3 linked regions of the Pelodiscus sinensis genome follow. The protein of the gene in region 2 binds, or shares a complex with, the protein of the main gene of each other region. Links are inferred from orthologs where the notes say so. Each region holds a gene or a part of one and is shown on either strand. Other genes may lie near its edges.

What was found.
Region 1: the proteins of WNK4 (region 2) and KLHL3 are in contact, whole or in part, in a crystal structure (PDB 4CH9), measured with the Homo sapiens proteins. The link is inferred for Pelodiscus sinensis from reciprocal best matches to the Homo sapiens genes WNK4 and KLHL3. Residues at the interface, in NP_115763.2 of Homo sapiens: Glu557, Pro558, Glu559, Glu560, Pro561, Glu562, Ala563, Asp564, Gln565; in NP_059111.2 of Homo sapiens: Arg339, Phe355, Gly357, Ser358, Leu359, Arg360, Thr386, Phe402, Gly404, Gly407, Ser432, Tyr449, Gly451, Ser481, His498, Arg528, Tyr577.
Region 3: the proteins of WNK4 (region 2) and KLHL2 are in contact, whole or in part, in a crystal structure (PDB 4CHB), measured with the Homo sapiens proteins. The link is inferred for Pelodiscus sinensis from reciprocal best matches to the Homo sapiens genes WNK4 and KLHL2. Residues at the interface, in NP_115763.2 of Homo sapiens: Glu557, Pro558, Glu559, Glu560, Pro561, Glu562, Ala563, Asp564, Gln565; in NP_009177.3 of Homo sapiens: Arg345, Phe361, Gly363, Ser364, Leu365, Arg366, Thr392, Phe408, Gly410, Ser411, Thr412, Gly413, Ser438, Ser439, Tyr455, Ser487, His504, Arg534, Tyr583.

What each region holds. Positions count from the first base shown.
Region 1 is NC_134727.1:31,918,661-31,928,957, reverse strand, and holds the start of KLHL3 (kelch-like protein 3), read left to right. Parts: upstream 1-6,328; 5' UTR 6,329-6,548; coding exon 6,549-6,562; intron 6,563-10,297. UniProt on the Homo sapiens protein: Substrate-specific adapter of a BCR (BTB-CUL3-RBX1) E3 ubiquitin ligase complex that acts as a regulator of ion transport in the distal nephron.
Region 2 is NC_134739.1:8,657,961-8,668,168, forward strand, and holds the start of WNK4 (serine/threonine-protein kinase WNK4), read right to left. Parts: upstream 3,942-10,208; 5' UTR 3,486-3,941; coding exon 2,973-3,485; intron 1-2,972. UniProt on the Homo sapiens protein: Serine/threonine-protein kinase component of the WNK4-SPAK/OSR1 kinase cascade, which acts as a key regulator of ion transport in the distal nephron and blood pressure.
Region 3 is NC_134715.1:63,199,675-63,210,372, reverse strand, and holds the start of KLHL2 (kelch-like protein 2), read right to left. Parts: upstream 4,624-10,698; 5' UTR 4,484-4,623; coding exon 4,461-4,483; intron 1-4,460. UniProt on the Homo sapiens protein: Substrate-specific adapter of a BCR (BTB-CUL3-RBX1) E3 ubiquitin ligase complex that mediates the ubiquitination of target proteins, such as NPTXR, WNK1, WNK3 and WNK4, leading most often to their proteasomal degradation.

The sequences.
Region 1 (10,297 bases), on a different chromosome or scaffold from region 2:
CAGAGGAGCCACAACTGTGGCCACGCCATCCCAGGCTGGCCTGGATGCCAGAGGAGCCACTGCTGCAGCCATGCGGTCCCGAGCCGGCCCTGGACACCTGAAGAGTTGCTGCCTCAGCCCCAGCGCTACCTCCTTCCTGCTGGAATCATAGAATCATAGAACTGGAAGGAACCTCGAGAGGTCATTGAGTCCAGCCCCCCGCCCTCAAGGCAGGACCAAGCTCCGTCTACACCATCCCTGACAGATGTCTATCTAACCTGTTCTTAAATATCTCCAGAGAGGGAGATTCCACCACCTCCCTTGGCAATTTATTCCAATATTTGACCACCCTGACAGTTAGGAATTTTTTCCTAATGTCCAATCTAAACCTCCCCTGCTGCACTTTAAGCCCATTACTCCTTGTCCTGTCCTCAGAAACCAAGAGGAACAAATTTTCTCCTTCCTCCTTGTGACACCCTTTTAGATATTTGAAAACCGCTATCATGTCCCCCCTTAATCTTCTTTTTTCCAAACTAAACAAGCCCAGTTCATGAAGCCTGGCTTCATAGGTCATGTTCTCTAAACCTTTAATCATTCTTGGATACCAGAGGAGCCACGACTGTGGAAAGGGGGGGGGGGCGATGAGCTCCCGCTAAGTGCCACTTACAACAAACGTGCCATATGTTGCCAACCCCCGGCTTAGAGCATCTTCATTAAAGCACTACGATGACATTGATGCATCTCTCAGGAGCCGGGGGGCGGGGACTTTGGGGAATGGAATGGACAGGCAACCCTTTCCCTTCATTCACCAGGACTTCCTTGCTGTAATGTGCAACTGCTCCAGCCAGGGATGCATTGCGGGCTGGGAGTCTGAGACCCCTGCAATAGACACACTGGTTTTACGTTTCATTACAACAGTCTGTAGCCCCCTAACATTCGTTCATCCTATGCTTGCAGAAGTGTTAATTGCCCACTTGAATGGCTTTGTGGGACAGCTGTTAACTCCTGGTGATGCTTAACAATATGATTCACCTTGTATTTAGCTGTGACACTGATTCTTCTTCCAGTGCTTGCTCCTGTCCAGTCCATGTCAGGTGTATGTGTTTGCCACATGCATCAGTGCTGGAAGTTTTTCCTTCAGCAGTACCCAGAGAGGAGTGGTGCTAGCATGGCACAGTATTAGGGATGCCGCTCGCCCTACCCTGAGTTCCTTCTTGATGCCGGTTATGATGCATGGTAGAAGGTTGCTGCTTCAGTGTTGCTTAGCCTTTGTTCAGAGAGACTTTGTAAAGTTGCTGTAAATGGTTTTAGTGTTAGTACCTTGGGGTCATTAGTGTGTTAGTCCGATCTGGGACTTAGCGGGAGGAGGGGGCATGCTTGACAAGAGGGTGAGTCTCCTCACCGACAACATGGCCTTGATGTTCTACATCCACACTCAACAGAGAGCGTGTTCGTCGGGTCTATGCCAAGGGGCTCTCCAGCTTCAGGATTTCTGCATCAGCCATGATATCCATCTGGAAGCAGGTTACCTCCCAGGAATGTTAGGAGTGCTCTAAAGGATCACCTCAGCAGGGATTTCTCCTCTCACCACAAGTGGTCACTTCACCCAGAAGTCACTCGCATTCACTCCCAGGGGTGGGGAATTCCCCAAGTGGACCTGTTGGCAACCAGGCATAATGGAAAGTGCCACTGGTTTTGATCCCAGCAGGGCTTGGGAAAGGACTCGCTCTCTGATGCCTTCCTCCTGTCATGAGCTGAGGATCTGATGAAGATCCTCCCACCAAGGCATGGGTTATTGTGATCACCCCATTGCAGCCTCACCAGCACTGGTATGGCTCATTAATATGCAAATGGGCCCTCCCTGACTTCTTCCCTACCATCTGGACCGTGGTTGACTCCTACAGCCCAGACTTGAATATCTGCACCTTTTGGTGTGAATGCCCCATGATTGAGCCTGGAGGAGTGTACCTGCTCAGAAGAGGTCCTGCAGGTCCTTTTGGGAAGCAGGAGGCCATCTATGAGACTGACTGACTTGGCTAAGTGGATGATGGTCTCCTGTAGGGTGTTAGAATGTTCTCCAGAGCAGGCCTTCCTAGATTACTTGCTGCAGCTTGGGAACCAGGGTCTGGCACATTCTTCCCTCAGAGAACACCTTTTGGCTATCTCCATGTTCCACCAGCTGATTCAGGGACAGATGGTGTTCTCTCATGACATGATGGTCAGATTACTGAGGATCTCCAAGAACTCTACCCGCAGGTATAAAACCCTGTACCACTGTGGAACCTCAACCTGGTCCTCTCCAGACTCACTGGTCCACCTCATGAGCGGCTGGCTTCCTGTCCCTTTCCCACTTGTCTTGGAAGGGTGCATTTCTAGTGACTCTGATATTGGCGAGATGGGTTTTGGAACTGCCTTCCGCAGTTTTCCATAAAGACAAAGTCCAGCTACCACCCTATCGGCCTTTCTGCTAAAGGTGGTTTCTTCCTTCCACATGAACCAGGACATATTCCTGCCTGTGTTCTGCGCAAGCCTCACAAGACAGTGGAAGAGAGGCATCTACATGCCCTGGTCACCTGGAAGGCCTTGGGTTTTACCTAGAACATATTAAGCAAGTCAATGCTGCTGTTTGTCTCTACAGCTGATAGGATGAAGGGCCTTCTGGTTTTGTTGCAGAGGATTTCCAACTGCGTCCTCTCTTGCTCCTGCTACAAGCTGGCAAAGCTACCCCTGATTTTTTGGGCTCATTCAACCAGAGTGCGGGCATCACTGGCTGCCTTCCTGGCACATGTGCAATCCGCAATGACTGTAGAACCATACGTGGTCCTTGGTCCACACGTTCACATCTCTCACTATGCCATCACTCAGCAGGCTAGAGACAATGATGGGTTTGCCAGAGCTGTGTTACAATCAACGTGGCCAAGAACTTCTACCTACCTCCATAGGTGCTTTTTGGAGTCACCTAACATGGAATGGATAGCAAGCACTTGAAGATAAGACAGTTATCTGTTCTGTAACTTGTGTTCTTCGAGATGTTGCTCATGTCCACTTCACAATCTGCCCTCCTTCCCCACTGGCAGAGTTTCTGGCAAGAGGGAACTGAGGGTTGGGGAAGTGTATAGTGCCCCTTATACAGCACCAGGGAGGTGCCTCTCCAGGGGTCACTAGAGCTACTTCGTTACGGGTACTGCTGAAGGACATACTTCCGGCACCAATGCGTGTGGAATGTGAAATGGACATAAGTGACACATCTCAAAAAATACCAGTTACAGAACAGGCAGTTTGTCTTTTACATTCCTTGACCTGAGGAAGAGATCTGTGTAGCTCCAAAGTTTTAAGTCTCTTACAAGAGAAGATGGTCTAATATAATCATCACCCACCTTATGTCTCCAAAATTCATAGCTAGGATGTAATCTGTTATATTTAAATCTTAAATGTAAAGAGGAATGATCAGCATAAGTCACGGACCATTTTTAAATTAAAAATAAAGGGATGTTTCTGCATGCTACAGATTAGAAAAAAATGTATTTTTAAATATGTGGCTTTGTGAACTCGGGTTAGTGTAAAATATACAACTACCACTAGAGGGCAACAGTCATAGTTTAAAAAAAAAATTCCATAAAAAGATTCTTTTGCATCTCAGTCTGGGACAGCGTGTCTGATCTTTAAATGTTAGTTACTTTGTAGAAAAAATACTGGCCCGCTGAAAGGCTTTGACGAAGAGAATCTATCACAGAAGGCAAAAGCTTAAAGCAAAGGTATTCCAATGTTTCTACTGCCTATGCTTTCACTCGAAAACCATTAATTGCTTGATATGAAAAAATCCTTATCGGGGAGCCTGTCCTAAATCTTTCTCTAGAGTGTTTTGATGATTTGGAGCCTTATGATCTTGTCATTAATGTTTCAGATGTTTTGGTCATTGTTTTACTTTTGTCTTGGGAAAGGACAAAGATTAGCTACATTCTTGGAATTGTCACGTTTAAATAGTTTCTTTAGGTATCAAAGATGTACTAGGCTCCTCACAGAATGAATAAAGATATTGGACATAGCCTTGATTTTTGATGATGGTAGTACTGGGTGTTCAAACAGAAATACTTAGGCCTTATTTTCAGAAGACCTTAATACTCGTACTTCCTCTTGAAGTCAATGTGGACTACTGTGTGAGAGTGTCTCTGAAAACCAGGTCCAAGATGTTGCAAGTTGGGCACTTAAAAATGGAAGCATGGCATCCCATTTCAGCAGTTGCATTCAGCTGATGGTCCCTGTCCTGAAAAGTTTATGATCTCAGTTCAGCTCATCAGCTTTATTAGTGTGCTTATGTGTTTCTTTACAGATTGGGGTTATAGACTCCATTTTTTCTAATTTAAGAAAAGAAGTAGACAAGATTATTTGTCAAGATGCAGATTTGGGAGCATACACACACACACGCCAAGTAGGAAGATACCAGTTTTATGCACCAGTCCCAGTTTTACAATGAGCATTGTCAATTCTCCCGGAAAAATTCCACTCAACCTGAGTAACATTTTTGGTAGAGTAAAATACTAGCTTTTTCATGGCTATCAGCAGTTGCAGTAAAAGGCAAGCAAGCAGTTTTGTGCCTTAGGTAAACTATCATGAGCACTTCGCAAAGTGGCTGTAAAGAAACCTTGCCTCTGTCCACTGATTAGCTGTATTATTTGTCTCAGATTCAACACCCCATTGCTGTGAGAAACTATTCCCATTGGAAGGAATTCAAGATTCAGTATTAAATATATCTGTTTTAACAAAGCATTTAAACGGAGTTGTTGGATTAGTTCAGTTGTAGGTCCTTGGCTGGTTGAAGTGGGGTGTTCTGGTATGGGTCTTTGGCTGAAAGGCTAGTGTTTTGTTATGATAGCTGTTTGTTCAATAAATGTATGTTGCTCAGGGGATTGGCATTGGGCATCAATGGCAGGGCTTGCTCTTGCTTGTCTAGAAATCTGTTGGGAGTTTTGCCATTGACTTCCATGGGAACAGGTCTGGACCCTCAGTTTTTGAATAAATTATTTACTTTTAGTTTTTGCTCCTTGCCTAGAACTCTTATGCTTTCACTACATCAAGTATTTCTCAAAGTGGTCTGTGAAAATATACCATGGCTCCTCTTGGCTGCAAATGGCAAAACGGAGCCAATAGGAGCTGCGAGGCTCCATGGCCGTGACACCAGTAAGTAAACACACCGTAGTGGCCAGTTAACAGGTTTCTCAAAGTGGTTTCACAGACCACTTTGAGAAACACTGTACTACATGGTATACCAGATGCCATGAGTATATGATTGGGCACTTGGAATGTACACTAGGATCTTGGTGAGGATCTTCTCTCACAAAGAATATTGTCAAAAGAAATACATGGGAAACATCCTCAGTGTTCTGAATCTGGTGTGATAGTAAATACCCATGGGAACACTTTAACAAGGGTCTTGGTGGATTTACCATCACTCGTGATTTTTAAATAAAAATTGGACACTTTTCTAAAATCTTCTCTAGGAGTTATTTTGGGGAAGTTCTGTGGCCTGGGGTATATACAGGAGATCAGATTAGATGATCACAGTGATAGCTTCTGGCCTAGAAATCCGTGAATAACAGAGTCTCTCTTCAAGCAGGAATGTCACCGTGGGATGTCCTCCATGGATTTGCTCAGAGCAATTAATTTTAATGGTTTAATAGCCATTAGAATCAGATCCACTCTGTGATCTGTTCATGGGTTATCATTTACATTTGGGAGTATTTCAACTGTATGAATGACAGTTTACAAGATTTTCTTTTTCCTTCACTTTCCCTCCGGCACCAGTCCCCTCTTTCTCTGCTGTTTATACCGCTGGAGCCCTTGCTCCATTCATCTGAAGAAGTGGGCTGTGCCCACGAAAGCTCATGCTACCAGCTACGTTTTTTTTGTTAGTCTCTAAGGTGCTGCAGGACCATTTGTTGTTGTTGTTTTAAAGCCTTTGAAAAGGGCCAGCCACGGATTTGGGTGGGAAATGCAGGGAGTTGGGGGAGGAGGGAGATCCATTCTGTTTCACTGGCAATGCCTAGGGTAGGCCAAGGTCTCGGAGGTGAATTTGGGCCTTGCAGCAGCACGTAATGGAGGAAAGCATGGGCCCGTTTGAGAGACAGCAGCTCCCTGCTGAGTGAATGTGACAAGCCAGAAGTTCCCCCTCAATCCCCTGCTCCCCCTGGACAGATTCCCTGGCTGGCACTGGAGAGAGCGTGGGGAGGCCGTGTGCAAGCGGCAGCAGCTGGAGAGGTGTAAATGGCACCGCTTGCTGTTGCCAGGAGACAGCCCAGCAAGCTTGCAGGGGAGGAAGGCGGAGGGAGCGGGCTGCTGCAGCTCCGCTGCAGGGAGCTCTGGGTAAGGAGGCGCTGTGCGGCGGCTGCTGCGCGAGGGAGCCAGTGAGAGGCAGCAGCTCGGCGGTGGGGGGAGCCCGGGGCTCCGATTGCAGCCGTGCGGAGTGGCAGGCGCTGATTGATCTCGCCAGCGCGCTGCCGGCGAGCGGCCGCAGGATTGCGAGCGGGCTGGCGGGTGCATGCAGAGGGCAGGCTCCAGCCCGGCTGCGCACAATGGAGGAGGAAAGGTATGTGTGTGTGTGCGCGCGCCGGGCAGGGCAGGGCAGCCGCCTTTGTGCTTGCACGGGGGAGGGCAGGGCGTGCAAAGCGCCCTGCTGGTGGATCGCTGGGGGGTCACGCTAAGGGGGGGGTTGGCATCTCGTTGCAGGGGACACTAGCTTGGCGCTTATTTGTAAGTGCCACAGATCTGCTGCTCACGATTCTGTGTGTGTGGGGGGGGGGGGGGGGGGGTTAATTTTCAAAGCTCTCCCTAGTGAGGAAGGATTTTGCATTGTGTTTCACGGGGACAAGCATCACTCCTTACCCCTGGGCATTTTGTTACCACCATTCCCCCCCCCCCCCCCCCCGTACAAAGTGCCCCAGGTTAACTATCGCGGAGTGTGCTTTCAAAATTTCAAATCCCCATGTGGGCGCCTGAACGGGTGGACCTGGGAGCGGTGCGGTTCACAAGAATCTCTGCAGTCCCCGGGGAAGCACATTCTCGTGAGAGCTGCCTTTTCACCTGAAAAGCTTCTGGATAGTTGCATAAGCTTGTAAGATGTGGGACTTACAAGAACCAGCTCACTTAGCCAGTGGCACTCATTGGCATGCAAGGAAGGGCGATTAACTCAAGGACTGTGATTCTCATGTTCAGTGGTCCCTCCAAGCTTTTCCATCCGTGCACGGAGGCAGGTGTGAATGTGCAACATTAGTAGAAACAAAAATCCTAATCAGCTGGGGGGGAGGATTTGAATCCCCGAGTGTCTGCACGATCACAGGGAACACTGCTCATGTTCCTGTGAGAATTCTCCTTCCTTTTGGAGCATGTTAGCGTTCTGTTCTTGGAAGGCCTTTTTTTCTTAATCTCCAGCACAAATATCCCTTTTATCTTCCAATTACTAGACATTGCAATGTAAAAAATGAAGGTTACTTCACAGGACACAAACCCTCCTCAGAAGGGAAGGGAATTTAGATCCATGTGAAAACTGGCCAGACAGATTTTTTTTGTGTGTGCAAGATGTTCGAATGCATTTTGCCTGGTTGATGTAGGTATTTAAGGAATATGCAGAAGTGAGGTGTGGAAACTTAATGTGGGTTGATACAGTGCAGCCTACCAATACAATTTTAAACTATTAGTACTCAAATAAACAAATATAAAATGAGCTATAGCTTTGTGGGCAGAGCCCATTTCATCATATGAATGGAGTGAGAGGCAGCCCAGATACTCCAGTGAAATCTTGACTTGTACCCAGTGGCATCCATTTAGTGCTTCTTGTAGTTAACAAACACAAGTTTATGAATTTTGCAAGTGTACTGAATTTACACACCTCTTTATAAGCAGAAACCAGGGACTTGTGTTTTATGACAGGAAGAGGGAGACAGCAGCAGCTAAATAGCTGCTCATAGGGTATTTGGGCCATTAACTGTTTCCCATGCAGTTTTGGTTTTTGGCTGTGATATTGTCGGTGCTGTAGTTTTTCTAAGACTGTAAAGGCCCCCTGAACATAGTGCAAATAATGAGAAGTTGCATCTTGTGATTGTTGCATAGGAATGACCTAGAGAAGAGGGGGATATAAAAAGTTTACCACGTACGTGGTGTTCTTTGAGTTGCCCTGGCCCTGTGACTTTCTGAAGCCAGAAACTTACTCCCAAAAACTCCACTGAATGCTTCTTTTCCAAATTATTCTGGTGACCTTTGTGTTGGGGGAAAGTTTCTCACTGAATCATACTGGAAACCTGCTGCCTTTTGGGATCTGAGGAATACTTTGCTTTTCCAACATACTGTACTCAAATTGAAAACTACTGGCCTTACTTGAGGAAAGAGAATTCTGTTCATGTAACAAGGGGCAGAATTCTATCCTTGAGATCTGTGGTTCTCCAACACTTTGGCCTACAACCTACCCTGTTCAATGCAAATCTTTCAGCAGACCACCAGCCAACCACCCATGGTGTAGGAGGGGATGAGGAGTCTGGGTGGGAAGGATGTGCTGTTTGTATATTTAACGTTCAAAACAAAACTCTCAGCCTGTGATCTCGCTAGTGGTTAAATATATGAGAAACACAAGATCTAGAATAAGTGTAAAATGGCTAGCTGTGGAGGTTATTCATTAGTATATTTAAATCTGAGTTATTTTAGATAGTTGCCCATATAGTAGTGTGTGTCCAATTCTTGCAGTTTCTAAAGTGAACCTAATGCCTGAGAGTTGACAGGAGAAGATGAGGCAGAGTGGCCATTGTTAAAAATGTTCCCTCTATTTTTTTTCCCCCCTCCATGTGCAGAATAAATTTTGTTATATGTTCTGAGGCGTGTGCAGGTGTGCACCACCAATTTCAACACATGCTGCCTGCTCTGGGCGCTCTGCAAATCAGCTGGGCGGCTGCCCCTGTACTCACCTTACAGGGAACACTGATTAATCACTTCTAATATGGTAGTGTCCAAAAGTTCAAATACTGAACCTTCTGGGCACTGAATTTCTAGAGAGCCTTATAGTAGCCAGTTTACCTTATTTTTGGTTTAGACTGATTGAGACACTTTTATTCCTTAAGGACAATCTCCATATTAGAGATGTAAACGACTAGTTGTGTGACTACTTGCTGCTCCCCGCCCTGCTGCCTCTGTAGCAGAGGCAGTGGCAGGTGGGGAAGGGAAGCAGAAGCCAATGCTTGGGGGGACCTAGCTTTTTTGACGGTTCCCCCCCAGCACTATCTTCACGCTGCTGGGGAGGCAGAGTTGCAGCTGTCTCGGAGCTGGCACAAGCTGGGACTGCTCTGTCCCAGCTCGCACCACCCCTAGGAGCTAATCCTACGCCAGGGCTGCACTTTAAATGTAGTAAGTTAAGCGCCCCTCTTCGACTAATTGAATAGTTGATGGAATTTCAATCGACTACTCGATTAGCTAACGAACAGTTACTTAACATCCCTATTCCATATCCTATCGGTCTTTGAAAGTGAAGAATCGCACTGAATCTTCTGGGGGATTTTGGTGGTTCGAATAGAATTATCCAAAGTATGACTTTTACTTCTCATGGTGTACATATAAAGAGAGGCAAGGCTTTTCAGTGAACCAAGGCTGTAAGGACTTTGGATTTATGTCCCTCTGAAGAGACAGTTAAGATGTCAGGTTCTCACATTCAAGAAGGGCATGTCCTCTTGAACTCCACAAAAGCTACACTCTACACACTGAAAAGGGCTACTGAATACATTGGGTGGGTGGGTGGGGTTTTTTGTGTGTGGTGGTTTTGTTTTAATATTTGTACACTGGCTTAAATTTTTTTATGGGAACATTTTATAAACTTACATAATAGTTTAGGCCTCAAGTTTGACCTATTTTATCTTCTCTGGATTTCAATTTTTCTCTTCCACTTTGTCAATTTTTTAAAAAAAGTGCTTTATTATCCAGTCACTTCAAATGTAGGTCCTAACCCTGTAAACTCTTGTATTTTTGAGACACTTTTACTCATGTGAGCTGGTGAGTAGGACTACTACTTACATGTGTAAAGTTAATCATGTGCCTATATGTTTGCAGAGTTGATTTCGTCTAAGCCAATCTTGTGTGTGGCAATCTAAATTGCTTTCTTTGAACTCAGTTCTCTTTTTGTCAGTGCTGTATGGTCATTCTTTGACAAAATGACACAGCTGAATGGTCAGAAATGTGTGGTGTTTATCTCTGATGAAATTAAACATATTAAAAAAAGAATCTTACAGAAGAATTACTGAAAACCTAAATCTGCTATATATTCTGGAGAATTTCTGCATTTGTCCAT
Region 2 (10,208 bases):
AGGAGGGGCACTGGCAGAGCTCTCGGTAGGGAGGGACACCAGCAGAGCTGGAGTAGGGAGCCAGGACTGGCACAGAAGCTGGGAATGGGTGACACGGCTAGACTGCTCAATGACTGTCCGTGCTGGGTGGGGGCTGTTGTGCTCCATGGGCCCCCAAAATGCCAAGCAGCCTCCTATTACAAGCATGCCAGCCCGCCGTCTGCACCATGCCCATGACAGCTGGCCTGGCCATGCCAAATGCTGCCTGACAGGCTAGGACACCAACAGCCCCTACCCCACGCGAGCTGCAGGACGTCTGCGGGTACCTCAGATCCAGCCTGGCCCACGGCACGTGCCCTTGGCCTGACAGGCGCCCCTCTGACGTGGCCTGTGGGGTGTGGAGAGAGGCTGGCAACTCCGCTTGGAGCTGAGACACCAGAGCAGGATCGAGAACCAGCCTGGGGCTACAGAGGGTGCCCGGATGCCCCCAGGCTACAAAGGCGGCAAGCAGGCCAGGGGCGTACTTGCCTAGCAAGGCCCAAACACAGGACGCAGCACACGACAACCCTCCGAGACGCACAAAAATTACACACCCGGGGAAAGTCATGCCCAGTGGGGCAGAGCACCGACAGCGTGACTATGAGCTTCGGGCAAAGGACGTGGCCCCCCACGAATACCCAGGGGCTTGGTGGGTCGCCCCCAGGGGCAGGCACACAGGGGCTGCCCCTTCCTCACAGAGCCACCCACTGCCTTGCAGGAGTCCCTCCTCCCACCAGGAGACGCAGGCCCCGGCGCGCCCGGCGACACCCCGCGCAGCTTTGCGGGGCAGGAGACAAACTCGCAAGACACGTTTTTCTGTGTCAACAAGGACTTGGAACTCGCGGCTGCGCCAGCCGCCCCAAGGACAAGACGGTGGTCAGAGAGGTTGGACGGCAGCCGAAGCCCAGAGCGGGAGAACTCCCATCCAGCCCTGCAGCAGGAAGGAGGAAGGGGGCTAGAGAAACCGCCCCCCCCACACACTCAGCACAAGCGCCCCAGTGTCTACACCCCCCTCTCTAACCCCAGCAAAGGGAGGGGGGCAGCGGAGGAGGAAGGGGTGGGAGAGCTGAGAGGAGAGCAGACAGCGCCAGGTCCGGGGGCGGTAAAACAGCTCCTGCATCCAGCCCTGGAGGGCACCACGGTTTCTGTCAGCGTCACGCAACCCCCCACAGCCCATACGTCCCGACCAACAAATATCTGTTGATTAACCCACAGGCACTCCTAGCCTACGGTCAGGAGCCCTGGAGTCCCAAAGGGGGGCTGGCGCTGTGGCCCCAATGGAGGGGGAGGGCTGGCGCCGTGGCCCCGAAGGGAGGGGAGGGCTGGCGCCGTGGCCCCGAAGGGGGAGGGGAGGGCGTGGCTGGTGCCGTGGCCCCGAAGGGGGAGGGAGGGCTGGCGCCGTGGCCCCGAAGGGAGGGGAGGGGAGGGCGTGGCTGGCGCTGTGGCCCCAAAGGGGGAGGGGAGGGCGTGGCTGGTGCCGTGGCCCCAAAGGGGGAGGGGAGGGCGTGGCTGGTGCCGTGGCCCTTCTCTACACTTCAAAAGCTCCTTGAACACGTGCCAGCGGTGCCCTAAACCAGAAACTGAAGGAACCAGCTGCCCACAAAGTGGCAATGGGGGCACGGCTGGCATCTGAAGCAGCCCCTCTGCTGGGCGGGCAGCCGGTGCAGAAGACTGCTTGGCACTTCACCTGCACCCCTGGCACCCAAGGCCCCATACGCAGCTTGCAGCTCCTTGGGGCAGGGATCGGCAGGGGCGGGGCTGGCTCGCTGCCATCACCAAGGGATGCGAGGCTACGGTGGACGTGGGGAGCCCAGAGCCGCACGAAGCTGGGAGCCGTTCCCACCAGGGCCCACCACGGCAGAACTACCACACACCCGAGCTGCCTGCGCATGGCACTTGTGGATCTGAGCCAGGCCAGGGAGCAGGAAAGGGCCGGCGTTGCCTGGCTGCTGCAGTCCATCTGCAGAAATGGCACCGCTGGGAATAGCCGTGAATTAGAGTAATTCAGTATCTGTGGCGGCAGCTGCCAGCTCAGGCGCCTACGTAACAGACACCACCCTGCGCTGCACAGGTCCGGCGTGCCAGCCACAGGAGGCCACAAGCATGGGAGGGGAGGACCTGGGGCCGCAGGAGCCAGCGATAACAGAACTGAACCCACGTGGCTCTATGCCTCCTGCTTCAGTGGGAGGCAGCAGCAGGAGCGGGTAGGGGAGGCCCAAGGAATAAGAGGCTGAAGCCAACAGAGGGGGCAGGGGAAGCGCCACACACTGCCTCTCAGATGCCAGGTGGGGGCATGTCTTGAACTCAGCTTTGGGGGGGGGGGGCAGGAGAGCCCCATCTGACCCACGGCTCAGTCCCAGGCCCATCAAGGGGGCGCTTGCCAGTCACACCCCCCCCCCCACCTTTCTCCAGTCCCTCTGGTGAAAGGAGCCACGGACCTGGCCTCCTGCAGGAAAGCTGGCCCAGCCCCACGGCCTGCCCCAGCCCTGCCAACCCCCGGGGCAAAGCCAAAGTAGGGAGCCAGACCCATCTGACTGGCCAAGCTCTGTCCCATCTGCACAGGCCCAATTCCTCCCCACGCCGACCGGCCCAGTCATCCAGCACCCGGCACTGTGGGGACTCCCCTGCAGCCCTCCTCCTCGATCCACCCTCCAAGGGAAGCGGAGGGCTGCCCTGTTCCCAGGCAGTGTGGGGTTAACCCGAAGCAGAGCCCCCCGGATCTGGGAACCTGGGGGGTCGTGTGGGGCAGCTTGGCTGGAGGTGCCGCACCAGGGGGCAAGAGACTGGGATGCGCCTGCCTCTTAGAGGCTGTGCAGCCAAGGGATCACTGCCCCAGCCCACCTGCGGGCACAGGTGCGGGATCGAGGGGTGGTCTCCCGCATGGGGGGGGGTCACAGTTTGGGTCAATAGCTCCCACCCCCGCATTGCTCCCCGCCACGCCCCCGGCCACCCACCTGCAGCTCGCACCAGGCCACCTCCACGGTGGTCTCGGTGTCCAGCCCCTTGTAGACGGTCTTGAAGGAGCCGCGGCCGATCTCGATGTCGAACTTGAGGAAGCGGCCGTCCGGGGAGGTGGCCACGGCGCGGGTCTCGATCTCCTCGTTCTCGTCCTGCGCCCGGCGGCTCTCGTCCGGGGAGGCGCCGCGCGGGGAGCCCCGGCCGGGGGGCGGCGAGGGCGTCTCGCTGCCGGAGCGCGCCGCGGGCTCCGCGCCTTGGCGAGCCCGGGGGTCCCCCCGCGCGTCCTCCGGGCCCGGCCCCCGCCGCTCCAGCTCGGCCGAGCTCCGCCGGCTGAACTTGTAGGAGCCGCGGCGGCTCTCGCGGCCCGCCAGCCTGCGCCCCCGGCTGCGGAGCGGGGCTGCCCGGCCGGGGGTCCCCGGTTCCAGGGCGATGCCGCAGCCGGACAGATCCACCTCGGGCTGGGACATGGCTGCGGCCGCGGGGGGCCCGGCCACGTGGAGCATCAGCATGGGGGGGGGGGGTGAGGGGCTCCCCGCGCCGCTTCGCACCTGGGGGGCGCAGCCGGACTGGGACGGGAGCCGCGGTGCGTGCGGCGCCAGCCCGGAGCCGAGCTCCGCCCGCCCGGCACCGCCCCCGGCCCGCCCCCAGCGCTGGAGAGCGGGGTCCCGCAGCCGCCTGGCCTGCGCAGCCCGGGGAGCAGCCCCCGGAGCGCCCCGCCACCAGGAGGTGTTGGAGAGGCTGGGACAGCGCGGAGCCCCCCTCGCTGCGGGAGCGACCCTACAATAACAAGGCGGGGCGACCAAGCCGCCTGGCCTCTGTGCCCCGCTCCGAGCCGCGCTGCCCTGGGGCCTCTGGAGCGGGTTGTGGTGGCCACAGGAGGAGTCCTCCTGCCCAAACCAGCTCCTCCATTGTGCAGCCCCAAGTGGGCTCCGGAGGGGGGGGGGCGCGGAGAAAGCCCCAAAGAAACAACCCTCCTTGCAGATAGACCCAGGCTGGGCTAGGAGCACGAGGGCATTAAGACCCCTGGGGAGACTGCGGGCTAATGAGCCCTGTGGGCCAGGTGCCTCCTGCCTGCAGCTCAAAGACAGACCCACGTCATGGGAAGGTGTTAGCCCAGGGTGCCCAACTAATGCCCAAGTCCTTCTGTCCTGTCCATGTTGCTTTGGGAAAGGCAGGAGCCTGGCTTAAAGTGGGGGTAGACTGAGGGGGCTCAGGGTTCTGTTCCTGGCACTGCTGCTTTGCCGAACCCTTGCCTCTCTCTGGACCTCCGTTTCCCCATCTGCCCAATGGGCTTGTGCTGCTGACCCCCTTCACAAAGCGCTTTGAGATCTCGGGAGGTTAAATGTGGTTGCTATTCTTAGAGAGGCCCACTGCTCTGTCCTGCTAGCGGGTCGGGGGGGGACCTCGACCACGACCAGGGCCGCTGACCCACAGAAAAATCAGTCGGGGGCTGCACACAAGTGAGAAGCAAAAAAACCCAAACCAAACCCTCACTGTCGTGGCCCCCGACTGAGAAGGAGAAAGACCCTCCCCACTTTCCCCTCAAAACCCAGAGAGCGGGGGGGGGGAGCACCAGCTCCCCAATGCTAGGGTGGAGCCTTAAGCCTCAGGGGCTGGATTCAAGCAAGCTGGGGGCTGCATCCAGCCCCTGGGCCTTAGGTCCCCCACCCCCGCGCTTTGGCATGCGTTCCTATGAGCAACACAGAACCACCTGCTGTCCAGGGCTCCTTCCTCAGCTGTCTGTTCTGCAGCGCACTCGGGGAGGCCGTTCCTGCTGGCGGAGACTCCTGATCCAGCCACCCCCACACCAAGGAAGCGCCCTCTAAAACGCTGATGCGGCAAGGAAACAGGAGAATTAACCCATCTGAGTCCCCATTGGTCACGTCTTCCCTCACTTGGCTGCGCGTTATTCTGCTGAGGTGGTAACTCTCCAGTGCTCAGGGACGTGAGTAGGGAGAGCCAGGCAGGTGTTGTCACTGCCCCGTGCTCAGAACCTGGGCCAGATTTCGGGGCAGGCTGCTGCCTGGGGTGCCGGCCGTGGGGGGCACCAGGCTCGGAGGGCTGGTTTTAGACAAAAGAGAACAGAATCTTGGAAGTAAAATGTTCCAGGCATTTGTGAGTGGATTCTTTTTTCGTTAAACTCCTAGAATGTTCCGGCCCTTTGTAGAATCGTGTGGAACCTTCCAGACTTTCCGAGAACCACATTTTCCTCAAACTTCCAAGAACGTGTCAGCCAGGCCCTTGCAGGTATTTCAGGGGCGGCCCGTCACCTGTCAGTCAGGGAGATATAAGAATGAAGTGAAAGCCCAGGTGCCATATTGTGATCAAGGATGGGGAACATATGGCCCAGGGGCCGGATTCGGCCCCCGGCTTGCCTGGATCCGGCCCTCGAGGCCCTCCCTCCCGCCCAGGGTCCACACTCCAAACCTGTTTCCCAGCAGCCTCCTCCCACATACTGCACTCCTCATTTTCTGGCCCCACCCTAGAGGCTAGAGGACCCCACAAAATCTACTGGCTCAGCCCCTCCCCCCCATGCTCTGGTAACATGGGGAGTGTCTTTCTGCTTCTCACATCAGTGACTTTTTTTTTTTTTTTTGCTTCTCACTTTTGTGTGGGCCCCGACTGGTTTTTCTGTGGGACAGTGGCTGCCGACCCAAAAAAGGTTCCCCACCCCCGATTTACTGTGTAATTGTGTTTTAAGATGTGAAGAGTGTAATTAGCACCAGATAAAGGACAGATTGAATGAGAAAGATAAGGGTTCAATAGATATTTTTCCTATGCTACAATATAAAAGAAAGACTGTTATTTCCTTTGCCAGGCTTATCATGTAATGTTTGATGACTTACTAAGGCTGGAGGACAAGGACTTTTGCTCTCCCTAACACTGGCTGTTTTCCACTGAAGAAAATAAAAGATTCCCCGGAAGAGAAGGAAGCAAAAAGCACAGTTGCAATCTAGTTTTCAGCAAGGGGCAAATCTGATGGGAAAATAGCAGAAACAGGACGACACAGACTGGGCTTACTTTCGGCTGTTGGGGTTGTCCGAGTGCAGAGAAATCGAGGAGTGACATATAAATGAGGGGAGTCCTATGACTATAAAATTAGAAGATGTACTTGAAGAGAAGGAAGGAAAATGTGAGGAAAGCGATGGAGAATCGTCCAGGTTTCTTGGCGGTACGAAGGAGCGTGGTGATACAGGAGAATATGAAAAGGGGAGTCGTGGCAAAATATAACCTGGCTTATGTGAACAGGAGAGAAACGGTTAGGAAGAATCGACCTCGTGTGATGACAGAAACAGCTGTGACTGCCATCCCCTCGCCCTAGATGTGTCAGACGCAGCATCGTCGTCTTTAGAATCAGGCTCTTTTCGGACTGCTGCAAAGGAGGTACGCCCTGTTTTTGGCATCCGCAATCAGGTGGAAAAAAGGCAATGTTACAAATTGGACTGTGACACCACTAGGCAGGGGTGACGGTGGATGCTGGGACATACCGGTGTGTCCTGTACTGCTTCGGGTGTCCTTGGCCAGCAGCTCTGGGCCCCCAGAAGGGACCTGGCCTCAGCCAGAAGGAGTGAGGCAGGGGGCAGACTGCCCCAACTAGTCCTTCATGGCTGCTGTGTCCGCAGCCTGGAGCCCTGGGACTCTTGATGGCAATCTGAAGGACCCAGGCCCTAATAAACTGCTGGCCCCTGAGGCAGCCCCCCTCTGCCAGCGGCGTTTAGTATCAGCCGTACACAGACCTGTATGGTGGCCGGGTCTTAGTGCGCCGAACCATCCTGCACCAGCCACTTTTCACCTCTGCCACTAAGTGACACACACTGGGAGAGCAGCATCAAGGCCGGCGGGAACCAAGCGACTGAGGTTTATGACGCCCTCGTGAACTGGCGCAGCCAAGTAAAGCCAAGGCCAGAATCCAAGACGAGGCACAAAGCCTGGCAAAGCAGATCCCTGGCTTCAAATTTCTGGTCTCAGCTGTGGTTTGGCATGTTCTCCTGTTCCAAGTACACGTTACACACAAGGCATGACAGACTCGGTGAATGGACATCGCGACTGCTACTACGTTGAGGAGAAGCTGCCTTGATTGCCAGAGAAGACCAGGGTTCAAAAAAAATCTAGACAGAGGTCTATAAAATCATGACCGGTGTGGAAAAAGTGAACAAGGAAAAGTTATATACTTATTCCTACAATATAAGAACCAGGGGTCACCAAATGAAATTCATAGGCAGCAGGTTTAAAACAAACAAAAGGAAGTTTTTCTTCACTCAGCGCACAGTCAACCTGTGGAACTCCTTGCCAGAGGATGTGGTGAAGGCTAGATCTTTAACAGGGTTCAAAAAAATGCTAGATAGATTCATGGAGGTTAGGTCCATCAGTGGCTATTAGCCAGAATGGGTAGGAATGGTGTCCCTAGCTTCTATTTGTTTAGAAATGGATGACAGGAGAGGAATCACATGAGGATTACCTGTTGTGATCCCTCCCTCTGGGGCATCTGGCATTGGCCTCTGTCAGCAGACAGGATACTGGGCTAGATGGACCTTTGGTCTGACTCACTCTGGCCATTCTTATCTTCTCTTATGATTTCATTGTTGCCTACAGAGACAACAGACTTGAAGATACTATCAACACTGCAGCTAAAGAAATGTGGGGAAACTGAGGATTTAAGCCCATCTTCAAGGAAATTCATATTAATCGGAAGAAGTTTGGTTAGGAGGGCAGAGATGAGGTGATGGGAAGCTTGGAAGAAAATTCAAGAGGGAGTTTTATTGCTCACTCATAAACAGGGCTTGACAAACGGCAGCGAAAGCCACTCGCCAACCCCGCACTGCGCATGTGCAAGAGCTGCATTGTGCATGTGCACGCCACCGGTAAACGGGGCGCCGGGCTGAAATCTACTCGCCACGGGCGAGTAGATTCAATAGTTTGTTGAGCCCTGCTCATAGACACTGCTTGATTAGCCATCAAAGAAACATTTGGACAAATGAAGCACCATCAAAAGACTGTAGGGGAAGAGGGAGGATGGTTGTGTGACCGTAGTAAGCTGCCAGCGGACAGGAAAATCTCTTGAACAATTGTGTGGACCTTCACCAGACACATGGGGAACGTTCGGCCATCAATGCTAAAGACCTTTCTGTTGAATTGGACAACATCTGTCACATTTTGCCACATGGAAAGCACTCTGCATGCCAAGCTCTCCCATTCATCCATGACACAGAGCTGAAGGGGTCACCGAATGACATTAACAGGTAGCAAGTTTAAAACAAACAAGAGGAAATTTTTCTTCACACAACACACAGTCAACCTGTGGAACTCCCTGCCAGAGGATGTTGTGAAGGCCAGGATTCTAACAGGGTTCAAAAAAGAACTAGATAAATTAATGGAGGTTAGGTCCATCAATGTCTATTAGCCAGGATGGGAAGGAATGGTGTCCCTAGCCTCTGTTTGTCGGAGGCTGGGAATGGATGACAGGTGGGATCAGTTGATGATTCCCTGTTCTATTCCCTCCCTCTGGGGCATCTGGCATTGGCCACTGTTGGCAGGCAGGAGACTGGGCTAGATGGACCTTTGGTCTGACCCACTCTGGCTGTTCTTATGTTAAGAACAATGCCTGGAGGGCTTTGAGGAGGCTGCTCCCATGAATATGAGCTTTTCGAAGCTCAGGCTCATAAAAACATATTTTCAATCCACGATGGCTGATGAGAGACTGACGTCATTTGCTATTTTATTGCTGGAAAATGCCATTGGCCAGTCTTTGGCTCTCTCTGTCGCTCAGCTTCAGTTTGCAGGGCAAAGGCGAGAAAAGCAACCTCTTGAACTAAGGACTAGGGGTAACATTCTAAGGCTGTCACCTACTGTAACACTAGTTAATACTGATCCATCCAGCACTGGGGCCCACGTCAATTTCTTGGTGTTCGTATATTTCAGTTACTCATACAATAGAGAAATTTCTGTCAGCCGAAAGAAAACAAATTATGTTATTTGCATATATATGGCATGAATAAATTAGGGATGTAATAGTGTAGTTGATTACCTGATTAACCAATAAGTAAAAGCTTATAGGTTAATGCTATAGACTACACGCATTCCCACCCACCCGTGCCAGTAAATTTTTTAGCAGGCTGGTCCGCAGCCCGGATCAGTCCTGGCTCACACCGGGTCCAGGACCTAGTGTATTAGGAGCCAGGCAGGCAGACAGCCCAGCTCAGTTCCAGCTCATGCTGGGTCCAGGAGCTCAGCCCCCACCCTGAACAGGTGCTGCTGCCTCTGTATCCGAGGCAGCAGTGCGGGGCGACAGGCAGCCGGTCCGCGAGGGGAGCTGGTTTTTAAACTGGCTCCCCTCGTGGACCAGCTCCTGCCTGGCTCCCCATGCCGCTGTCTCTGATACAGAGGAGTGGCAGGCGGCTCCTTGGGAGTGGAGCCGGAGTGTCCCTGCCGCACCCCCGGGGACTATAGAATAGTCGAGTAACTGATAAGAATTCATGAGCTGAATCGACTATTCAATTAACCGATATTTAACATCCCTAGAAGAAATACAAATGTACAGATCCTAGCATGCAACTATATCATCGTATTTGACAAGGACAAATCATGCATCGGAGTCATGAAATAGGCTATAAATGTAATAAAAAGCAAGATATTCACAAATTTAACACATCGGGGTCGGGGGAGCACCGAAGATGCTCCTCACCTAGGAGCCATTTGGTCTCAGGCTGGCCCCGATCAGAACAGATGCTTTTCAGGGAGCTTAAAGTATGCCGGCCTCTCCTCTCCTTACAGAGCTGGGAAAGGCAGGTTGGTTCCCAGCTGGCCCTGGGCCTCCCAGGCCTGCTCCCTGCTGTCCGTTCTCCAGCCCGGTGTGAAGTGACTCAGGCAGCCGGATGACGCAGGTGTAATTGAGCAAAGTGCTTGTTCGAGTCATTTACTTGCTGCTTTTAACCTGAGGCTTCAGAGCATCGTGTTTACTGGAAAGCAGCAGCTGCCTCTCTCTTGCAAGTTGCCAGAACCAGCTCCTGCTCCGGGCAGCTCTGGCGCAAGGTATCAGGGCCCCTGCATCTGTCTCTGCAGCCAGCTCTGCATTAGCTACTGGGGAAAATCACAAAGCGGGTCATGAAGACATTAAGTTATGAGCTATTAACAAGGGCATGGCCTCAGCAGCCTTCCTCTCCAGTACAGACAAGCACCTGGTGCTTTTCTGGTTAAACCGGGGTGGGGGGGGGGGCGGCTCTCCGTTTGTTTAG
Region 3 (10,698 bases), on a different chromosome or scaffold from region 2:
TGTGGAAAAAGCGAACAAGGAAAAGTTATTCACTTATTCCCATAACATTGTGGTTGTGTCTACACTGGCCACTTATTCTGGAAAAGCAGCCGCTTTTCCAGAATAACTTGCCAGCTGTCTACACTGGCCGCTTGCTTTTCCGGAAAAGCAATGACGATCTAATGTAAAATCGTCATTGTTTTTCCGGAAAAACTATGCTGCTCCCGTTCAGGCAAAAGTCCTTTTCCGGAAAAACTGTTCCGGAAAAGGGCCAGTGTAGACAGCACAGTAGTCTTTTCCACAAAAAAGCCCCAATAGCGAAAATGACGATCGGGGCTTTTTTGCGGAAAAGCGCGTCTACATTGGCCACGGATGCTTTTCCGGAAAAGCATCCTGCCAATGTAGATGCGCTTTTTCCGGAAATACTTATAATGGAAAACTGTTCCGTTTTAAGCATTTCCGGAAAAGGGTGCCAGTGTAGATGTAGCCAAGAAGTAGGGTTCACCAAATGAAATTAATAGGTAGCAGGTTTAAAACAAACTAAAGGAAGATTTTCTTCATACAGCACACAGTCAACCTGTAGAATGCCTTGCCAGAAGAGGCTGGGAAGACCAGGAAATTAACAGCGTTCAGGAAAGATCTAGTTAAATTCATGAAGGCTAGCTCCATCAATGGCTATTAACCAGGATGGGTACAATGGTGTACCTAGCCTCTGTCAGAGGTGGGAATTGGTGACAAGAGAGGGAGTGCTTGAAGATTCCCTGTTCTGTTCACTACTTCTGGGGCATCTGGCATTGGCCACTGTGGGAAAACAGGATATTGAGCTAGATGGACCTTTGGTCTGACCCAGTATGGTTGTCCTTATATTCCTATTTCTTCCTTACATAGATAGAGGCAGCAGCACAGGGAGGGGGGGGGCAGGTGGCACCATGGGGCTGGTGCTGTGGGAACCAGCTTTTAAGCTTGCTTCTCCAAGAACTGGCTTCTGCCTGTTCTTCCCTTCCCCTGCAGCAAGGGGGGACAGGTGGGTCCATGGAGCTGGCTCTCCCCTGCACCTCCTTATCCTCCGCACTACTGCCTCTCCATCAGAGGAACCGGCTCCTGCTTATGGCCCCCCACCCCCCGAGGCAGCAAAGGGGGGAGGCATGTAGTCAACAAGATTAACCAATAAATCCAGGCTTATTAGTTAATCAAGTAGTTCTCTACACACTGACATCCGTAATTTCTTTTAGAGTAAACTTTAATCTTCCACTTTATGTGCTGTATATATGGATCATCATTCAGAAATAAAAGCAAACAAGTAAAATGAGCTGACTACTCTCTTTGAGGGGGTTCCAGTTACAGTAATTGCTCATTTAACACTATACATGTTTCAGAAAATGATTGTGTTAAGTGAAAACGTGTTATGCAAGTCAATTTTCCCACTGAAAATAATGGAAAAGGTGGGGATTGCGTTTCAAGTGGTGGTGTCTGTTGGGACCGGGACATAAGGTTGGGGGAGAAAGACTGGGTTATAGCAGGGAGGGAAGGTGTTTGGCTCTGGGGAAGGGAAGGGGAGAAGAGGGGAGAGGGATTGGGTTGGGAGTATACCCCTGTGATAGGTCTTCCGGGACCCACACTGTGTCCAGTGAGGGGGGGGCTTGCAGGCAGGGGCGGAGGAGAGGGGGCAAGGTGTCCAGCTATGGGGAGTCAGCAGGGAATGGTGCAGCTAGCGGCGAACCCTCCGCCACTTTGCAGGGAGAAGGAGCCGCCAGCAATGGGAAATCATGTTATTCTGGGGACGGTCGTGTAATTCAAAAAACATTTCCTAAAAAAAAAAAATCGTGCTATCGTGAAAACGTGTTAAGCGGGCATGTGTTAAATGAGGAATTACTGTATAATGGTGAAGGGGCCAATTACATATGAATGGTGAAACTACCAGATTTTAGGTTACAAAACAGGAACGTCCTAAATTGGCTATGACATTATAAAGCCTGCAATGAATTAAAAAGCCCACCTTAATATGCATCCTATTTGAGGGACTATTTTATACACTTTAAATTACTTTGAGTTTGTATAGTTATAGCTCCTAACTAACTCTATTTTCGTTGTCTCGAGTTGCCCCATATTTGTGGCATCTGAAACTATATGAAGACTGTTATGAAGAAGGTATGATACATTAATATTAAACCACAACATATGTAACCAGTGTGAACCTGACCCTACGCATGGTGGACGCATGTGGTTTGACTCTTCAACACTTCCAGCTGTCCTGATTATCATGACTGATGAAACAGAGCAAAAATAATGTGGTTTTCTGAATCAGAGGAATGATCAAACTCAAACTACCTGTACTGTGCTTATAATATTCACATAACCCTCCTCCTTTAACTTGGATGATTCTTGTTCCTCCTGAAATTCCAAGACTATAATAGCTACACTTGGGCTCTGATGGAGTAGCTAAAGATTAAACATTCAAGGACAATATATAACTTCACTGGAATGTCAGATTACAACTAACATGGTGATTATGTAGGGGAAAACAATATAAGGCAGGATCTCTTACATCATCCAATGCCTGAATTGGTATAAAAATGGGAATCTAGATCTGTGTCTAGGCATGCAACATATTTATTGGTTATAAGCAAACAGATAAGACCCAGTTGTCTTTTCTAACTTCATGTGTCAAAAGCCCTGACCTGTCAGATCTTGAAGAGCACAAAGTGCTGCCATGTATACTGAGCAGAGTTTTCATAAGTATATTCACTTCACCATCCCAGACACACCACCCCATTATGATTAATCTTTCTATCCTCAATCTTCCGCTAACTCCTCCAAAATTCCAGCTCCTACAATTAGCACAGGCTGCAAGATTTATTACAGACAGGCTTCTTTTTAGAGGGAATCTTGGGAAAGCACAATTTTACCATAAGATAGAAGAGAAAGTAAGACTAGGTGGTATACTTTCCCATTTATGCGCACTAGTGTGAAAAGTAGGTGCCTGTAGCAAGTTTTTGGTCAACTGCCTAAATAACAAATATCCTGGGTATTAGAGAGAAATATGGGTAAGGTAATACACTCCAAAACCTGGGAACAAAGAGTGAATGCACCGAAATAACGTGTTGCTTATCTGCAGTACAAAGAAAACATGTGGCTGTTAGTTACAAAAGTATTGCTGCACTAGGGAGGAAAAGGAGGTCGCAATTACTATGGGCAGGAAAGGAGTTACACATCTATGCATACTACTATGTCTCAAGCACTAGAATACTCATTGTACTTCAAATCTGAGGAAGTAGGGGACTATGGAATTGGTAACCTTTTGTAAAATAAAGAGAAGCAGAAATTATGCCTACCTGTGTAACTGCTTATTGCTTAGCAACCCTGTTTTTTAAAAAAAAACCACTACATCCACATGCTTTGAACACCCCAGAAATCTCTTAATGTAGTGATACATCTCAGTACATGCTTTAACAGGTGTACCTATATATGTATGCATACACAAAACCAGCAAGCAGATTTCCACTGAGTGTGGGTGGTACTTTAAATGTTTCATTGAATTGCACACCATAAACATTTTTCATCAAACAGATGCTATAAAAATATCTACTGGCAATGCAAAAATGAGAGAATCTCAGTCAAGATGAGAGAGACCTAACAGGGTGGTTACAGATTCGCCTTGAAAGCTTCCTTAGTGAGGGTGCTATTCCCATCCTTGAGAACAGATTTTAATGGCACTCCTTAGCATTTTCTCTCCTGGTCTTGGGAGACAGACATGCATTTTACCATGTTTTCTGCTGACCATTTTTAATCTTGCTCACTTTTTGTGACTTCCCCTCATTCACCTGCCCCTACTTCTGACAGCCCTTAAGAGCTATTTATGAGATACTATCATGCTTAGCGCTGTATAGGGTACAATAAGGCAGTCCACCCCCACCACCCTCCAGAAGCCCTTGCAGTACTGGTGCAAAGCAAGAAGTATTCTTAAAATCCTGCCGAACCAAGCCAACTACTCCGTTTTACCTGTTGGATGCTCCTGCTTCGAGTTCAATCCCGGGCGGGGAACGGGCTAGCAAGTAACACGATGAAACAGGGAGGGCTTTAACTGAGCCAGGCTTTCACGTGTCCTAACGCCACCAGGGCGGATGGGACCCAGAGCCAACCTGCAGGTGGGAGACGCGCATTCTGCCCGGTCCCGGGCAGCGGCGCAGGGAACTCCCCGGCTAGCGTCGCGCTGACACAGGCCAGGAGCGAGAGGAAGGAGGGGAACAAGCCTGAGCAAAGGACGCTCCAGGCGCCGCGGTGTCAGAGCACTAGGAGGGGGATCCCGAGCCACAGCTGCCGCCTCCCCCGGGCAGGAGCTACTGGAGACCCGGACGCGGGGAAGGGGCAGCTCCCCAGCCCGGAGGCCGGAGGAGACGCTGGCGGGGATTCCCCGCGTCACCAGCCGGGCGCGCCCGGGACACCCCCGAAGCCCCTCTCGCCTCCCCGCCCGCCGCACTCACACCGGCGGCAGCAGCATCTCCATCGCGGCTCGGCGCAGGCTCCCTCCTCAGGACGCAGGCACCGCACGCCGCCGCCAGCAGCAGCAGCATTCCAGCCGCGCGCGCCGGGACAGCCCGCGCCGCCTGCGCCTCTCCGCGCGCGGGGCTCCGCTATCGCCGCCCATCCATCCGCCTGCCGGAGCCGGGCTGCGCTGCCCCTGTCGCCGGCCGCCCCTGGCTCAGCCCACTTCCGGGTTCCAGCCACGCGGGCGGGGACGGCGCAACGTCAGCACGCAGCCTCGAAGTGAGCGGGACGCCCACCCGCCGGCCTCGCGCTCTCCCCTGGGGTGTCCCCGCCCGCGCTCGGGGCGCGAGGCTTTGCTGGGGCGCGGCCGTTGTGCAGCCCACCCCGCCCCCACCGCTGCCTGGGCGCGGCCCCGGGTGTCCTGCGGGGACGGACGAGGCGGGAGTCAAGGCACGATGCCGGTGAGCCTGGCGCGCGGGCCTCGGCCTGCCCAAGCCCTTCCCGCTGCTGCCCCCGCGTCGTATCGGCGCCTCCAGCTGTAGAGCCGTCCCTGCCCCCCCCAGCAGGGGCTGCGAAGGGCGACTCAGCTTTGGCTGCCCTGGGGGCCAAGATGGTCACAGCTTGAGTGCGGTTTTGTGCATGCAACTAGATATGCAAATAGCTTCTTTCACACTGATGGGCACGAATACAAAGATTAAGGCAAGACTGCAACACGCAGGCCCCATTAAGTCACATCTGATGTTATTACTAAAATGCAACATTTACCCAATTTCCACCCATAGGACAGCACTTTTAATGACCAATCACAGTTCAGGAATTTTAACTATTAAAACATATCCAGAGAAGACCATTATATTGATTCCTTTTTTTGTTTTAGCTCCCACTCATGGGCTGCATTTAGCCCGCGGGTTACATGTTCAGTAGCCCTGGCTTAAAGGCTTGGGAAACGTGGCTCCCTGGAACAGTGAGTGCAGCTCAATCCATCACCTGCATGGGAACCCGTGTAAAACAATGGGCTCTAGTAGAGACAAATGGCACACATGCCCCTGTCTTGTCGTTGAAACTGAACTGATATTTTCGGACTGACAGTGAGGTGTAAATATTCTGGGTGGATCTGTGTAGTATGGGACAGAGCGGAGTCACTGACCATTTCTAAGCGAAGATGAGATTAATTTCTCTTTTAGAAGGAAAACATTTTGGGGCAGCTCTAGGCCTAGGTCAGACTAAATCTGTGGTGTCTAACACACTAGCCATGTGGCTATTTGGCAGGTTGAGCGTGGCTAGATCACTACAGTATTGCAGAAGTGGTTGGACACCAGAGAACTAGATGATTACAAGGGTCCCTTCTGGCCTTGGAATCTATGAGCTTTACTAATTTATGGGTCAATAGCAGGCCTCCCTCAATTAGGACTGTGACTGAGTTTACATTCTCTTGATTTTTTGCTCACTCCATTCTAAAATCTACATTGCTTTGTGGCAGATGGACCTCTGTGATACAGGCGATTATGATCTTCCAATGGATTTTTTTTTTTTTTAAGAAAAGCTGTCTTGTACCTAGTGCTGTTCACTATTAGAACATGACATAAAGGTCTGGTATGGTCTCCTAGGAAGTTAGGATCATTAAGGCAGCACTTTCCACAGACAGGAGTTGGGTCATACCTGTCCTCACATGCAGAGCTCACCCCTGTCCCCTGGTACTGTTGTTATTGTCAAGCCGGTTGAATGTAGGGAGAAACAGAAATGTTTTATTTTGGGAAATACCACCGCCTTCCCAGTAACTTTTGATAGATGTTGTTGGTTCCTGAAAATGCAGATGACTCTCTTTAGTCTGTGTTCCATATATCCACAGTTGGAGCTCATCCACCTTCATAACCATTAGAGAACATGGTCCTCATTTACAGGGCTTGACAAACAGCTGCAAAATCCGCTCACCAAACCCGCAGTGCGCATGTGCAAGACCCGCACTGCGCATGCGCGCACCGCTGGTGAACGGGGCGACCGGCTAATATCTACTCGCCACGGGTGAGTCGATTCAATGATTTGTCGAGCCCTGCTCATTTACATGAGCAGTTGTCGGAATTCACTCATTAATCGGAACAGGAGCCTTTATCAGGTACAGTCAGACCTGAAGCTTATGTGGATATGGATGACCACATCCTGAAGACAGTAGCTTATCCACTACTACATATTGTTATGTAAAGAACAATCTGCCATCCATACTAAACTCGAGGTATGGTACTTGTTAGATAACTCTTGTACTGACTGGCAACATGAAATCACTATTCTCTCAGCCACCAGTGAGCAATAATTTTTGATGGGGCCCCTCCAAGAATTTGGAAAGTGGTCAAACGACGCACTCTTCCATGTTATTAAATGGAAGAGGAGCAGGGTCTGTGATGGAGGTTAGGTGCAGAAGTGAGCTTGGTAAGGGAGGGAGTTAGGGTGGAGGAGGCAGTTGTGACGTGGGGCTCTGGACTGGGGTGTAAGGAGTTGGATTGTGAACTAGGGCAGGAGGGGACTGATCTGGGTCAGGGGATTGGGATGCTAGATCTGGGAGGGAGTATAGGTATAGGAGGGGGACAGAGGATTTGGGTATGTGGAGGAGGGAGCAGCGGGTTGGGGAAGGGTGGGACTGCAGTGCCAGCAGCAGGCTCTGGCCAAGAGACTTACCAGCCAGCAGCCTATTCCTGAAGGAGCCTCCCTGCCTGCCCCACCCCTGCAGAGGCTGCAGCCATGTGCTCTGTGAATAACTATGAGTTCCTTGTGCTTGGTGGCTGCCTGTTATTGAAACAGGAAAAATGCATTGGCCAGTTTCTGGCAGGAAGCTGGCCACTGGGATAGTGTTGGGGTAGGGAGCAGCTCCTGAAGCTTTCACCCCTCCATCCGGGCTCAGTTTTTAAGGTGAAACTGCCCCACAATCATGTTTGAGCAGTGTGTGGTTGGGGCGAGGCAAGCAGGGAGCCTACCTGGGGCTCCGCACAGCATCCACGGTCCAGATCTGGTGGTTTAGGGGGCTGGATATGGCCCACGGGCCAAATTTTGCCCAGGCCTACTATAGGCTGACTCCATGCTTGGCTCCAACATCATTGTGGGCACTTTTGTTGTTTCTACATGTGCCAACTGTGGAAAAGAACTCATTTTATCACCAGTTACTTGCAAAATTCCATTAACTCTGCAGCATGACAAACGGTTAGTACTTGGAGATTTTAATGCTATGACTGGATGCAGTTGAACTCGGTATGAAACCCAGAGACCTGCAGTAGGTTCCTTTGGCTTGGGTTCCCAAAGAACAACACTACCTGGCTTTAGTGGTCCAGAGGCATCTGCAAACTGAGGCCTCAGACTTTCACAGCTTTCCCCGTATCTTCTTTCAATCCTGATGTTCACTACCAGTAAAATGTCCAGAATCTTTGAGGACCTTTTTGAAGCCATGAAATAAACATAAATCATAATTAATCACATATAACCTCAGTATAATCACATATAACCCTCATGGAAAATGTGGGGAGCATGTGGAATAGTGTACAAAATACTATCATATTCCACTTCTGGAACAATCAGCTTCAAATGATTAACCAAGACCCCTTAGCTTCATGAAGAGGCCTTTGTTATATTATTTTAAAAGATAGACACACATAAGCAGACAGATATCTAAGAATATAAACTGCTGAAGTCATTTTCTGGACCAGGACAAAATGAAACTGAGATTAACATCAATTCCCTGGCCACCAAAGCAGAGGACAGCCTAAAGAACAACAAATACATCCTGCCTACTGAGCCATCAACACACCTGGCTGGCAGCCATAAACAGCCTTCTAACATCCCTATTATGGAACCAGATGGCTTTGCCTGCTCATCAATGGAGGAGGTGTTAAACAGATGGAAAACACATTAAAGCATGCTGAAGCTCAGACTTGCTGATGACTGTCTAGAGAGCTATATGACCTGATAAGCCTCACAGGTGTAGATCCAGGGACAAATATTGAGCTTTGGTAAATCAAGGAAATAGTTAAGGCCATCCAAGAGTTACACACTAGACATGCTCGTGGACCTCATGGTATTCCACGGCAGCTGCTCAAAAGTGCCTTGGAACTGGGGAGCCCCAGCTTCCATAAACTGTTCTTAAAAAGTGTTAACACGAGGCAAAGTTCAATAGACTCAAAAGACAGAATCATAGTGTCCCTGTACAAGGGCAAGGAATTTTGCACTGAGCGTGGCAACTACAGGCTAATCTCATTACTGGTCCCTGGAAAGGTCTTTGCTCACATTCTGCTTGATAGGATGCAGTCACTCCTTACCATAGATCAGTGGTCCCCAACCTTTTTAGGTTGTCGGGCGCCAGGGGGCATGGCCGTTTGCCCGCCGGGCGCCAGGGGGCGGGGCCCGGGGGCGCCCCCCCATCCACGCGCCCGGGGGCGGGGCCCCACCTAGCCGCGCGCCCGGGGGCGGGGCCCCCCCATAGCTGCGCGCCCGGGGGCAGGGCCCCCTCCAAGGGCCGCGCGCCCGGGGCCGGCGCTCCCCCTTTCCCCCGCCGAGCGCCCGGGGCCGGCGCTCCCCCTCCCCTCCGCCAAGTGCCGAGCGCCCTCAGCCAGCGCTCCCCCTCCCTCCCGCCGAGTGCTGCGCGCCCGGGGCCGGCGCTCCCCCCCGCCGCCTCCCGCCGAGTGCCGCGCGACCGGCGCTCCACCCGCCAAGCGCGCTCTCCCCGCAAGCGCCCGTGCGCCATGTGCCCGGGGCCAGGCCAGCCCCGAGCACCTGGCGGGCGCATTGAAATGCCCCCGCGGGCGCCATGGCGCCCGCGGGCACCGTGTTGGGGACCACGGCCATAGATCATCATACATAGCAGTCAGGTTTCATTGCAGGGCAATCATTGATACATTCTGGCCTTACTTTGTGGTCTGTGGCTGAGCAGCATCACAAATTTAACAGTCTCCTTCATGTTGCGTTTTGATTCAGTTGACAGGGTCAGCATTTCGGTTTGCACTGAAAGGAGTTGGTGTTCCAAATGTTCTATTAACTGATTCACTAATCTTTGCATCTATATTGATGCAAAAATAGGCACTTAATTCATGTCTTTCACCGTGTTTCTACACCACTGTAATGTATCCCTGCTGCACATCTGTCGGGTACTATTGGGTCAGGCTGTCAACTGAAAAATAATACTGGCTTCTCCATAACTTTAGAATCAATTCAGGTCAAGAAGAGTTGAGTGTCCTCAGCACAATTTTGGTCAGTGTCTTGCTCAAGCACAAATCAGAGAATTCTAGCCCCACTCTCCAAGGTTTTCAAGATGGCATTGAACATCTTATGGTGGAAGAAAAAGGTGCAGAATCTTGGAGCCAGACCACCAAAACCCTCAGTGAAGGTGGTGTTGAGTATTGTGGAGAAAATTATTTATTTACATTTCTTGCAGAGTTCAAATGGTCACAGCAAACCAGACAGTCTTTAACAAATAGGTCTTACCATTCTGGCATGAAGTCCGTCTCACTTATGAATGCAACAGTGTGTTTGCACTGAGACAAAGTTCAGGATCTATAAAACCAATATTGCAATATGGGTCAGAAACCTGGACCCTCTTCAAGCAGACTTGAAGCACCTAAAGGTATTTGATATGCATTGTTAGCACCAAATCCTCAACATAAAATGATGTGACTTTGTACAAAATGTCAAAGATCTGGCCTTCCTCCAATTGCTCACTGAGCAAAAGTGTTATTGCATGCCCCTCAGCCATGTCACCAGGATGGACTAACACACTCCAACACACTGTGTCCTCAAACTCTCCATTGATGTACGAAGGGGTTCTTTACTGGAGCCTATCTGCTGATACCTTTGGAGCAGTCCCACAGATTCAAGGATTTGCAGGAGTGAGCCAGATCTGGAAACTGTACTACATGACACTAGGAGCAATATTCTCAGCCATGATCATTCTGGCTGGCACAATACTCCTTAGTAGTCTATGTGTGTTTAATCTGTTCCCACAAAGCTAGCTATGTCTCAAAACTGGTGCATAACATCTATGGTTAAGAGAGAAGATTTCTATAACATTTAAAATGATCTAAGCAAAGAATCCTGAATTATGGCATACTTTACAAGTGTTCAACGGAACTTAAAAAGACTAATACTGTGTGTATTTATTTGCTGAGTGTTGGAGTTCGTGAGGAGTTCAGGACGTCTAGCAACAGACTAGCCCACCAGACACTGAGTATTCTAGCCTCCGGAGATAGCTGCCTTTTGTAA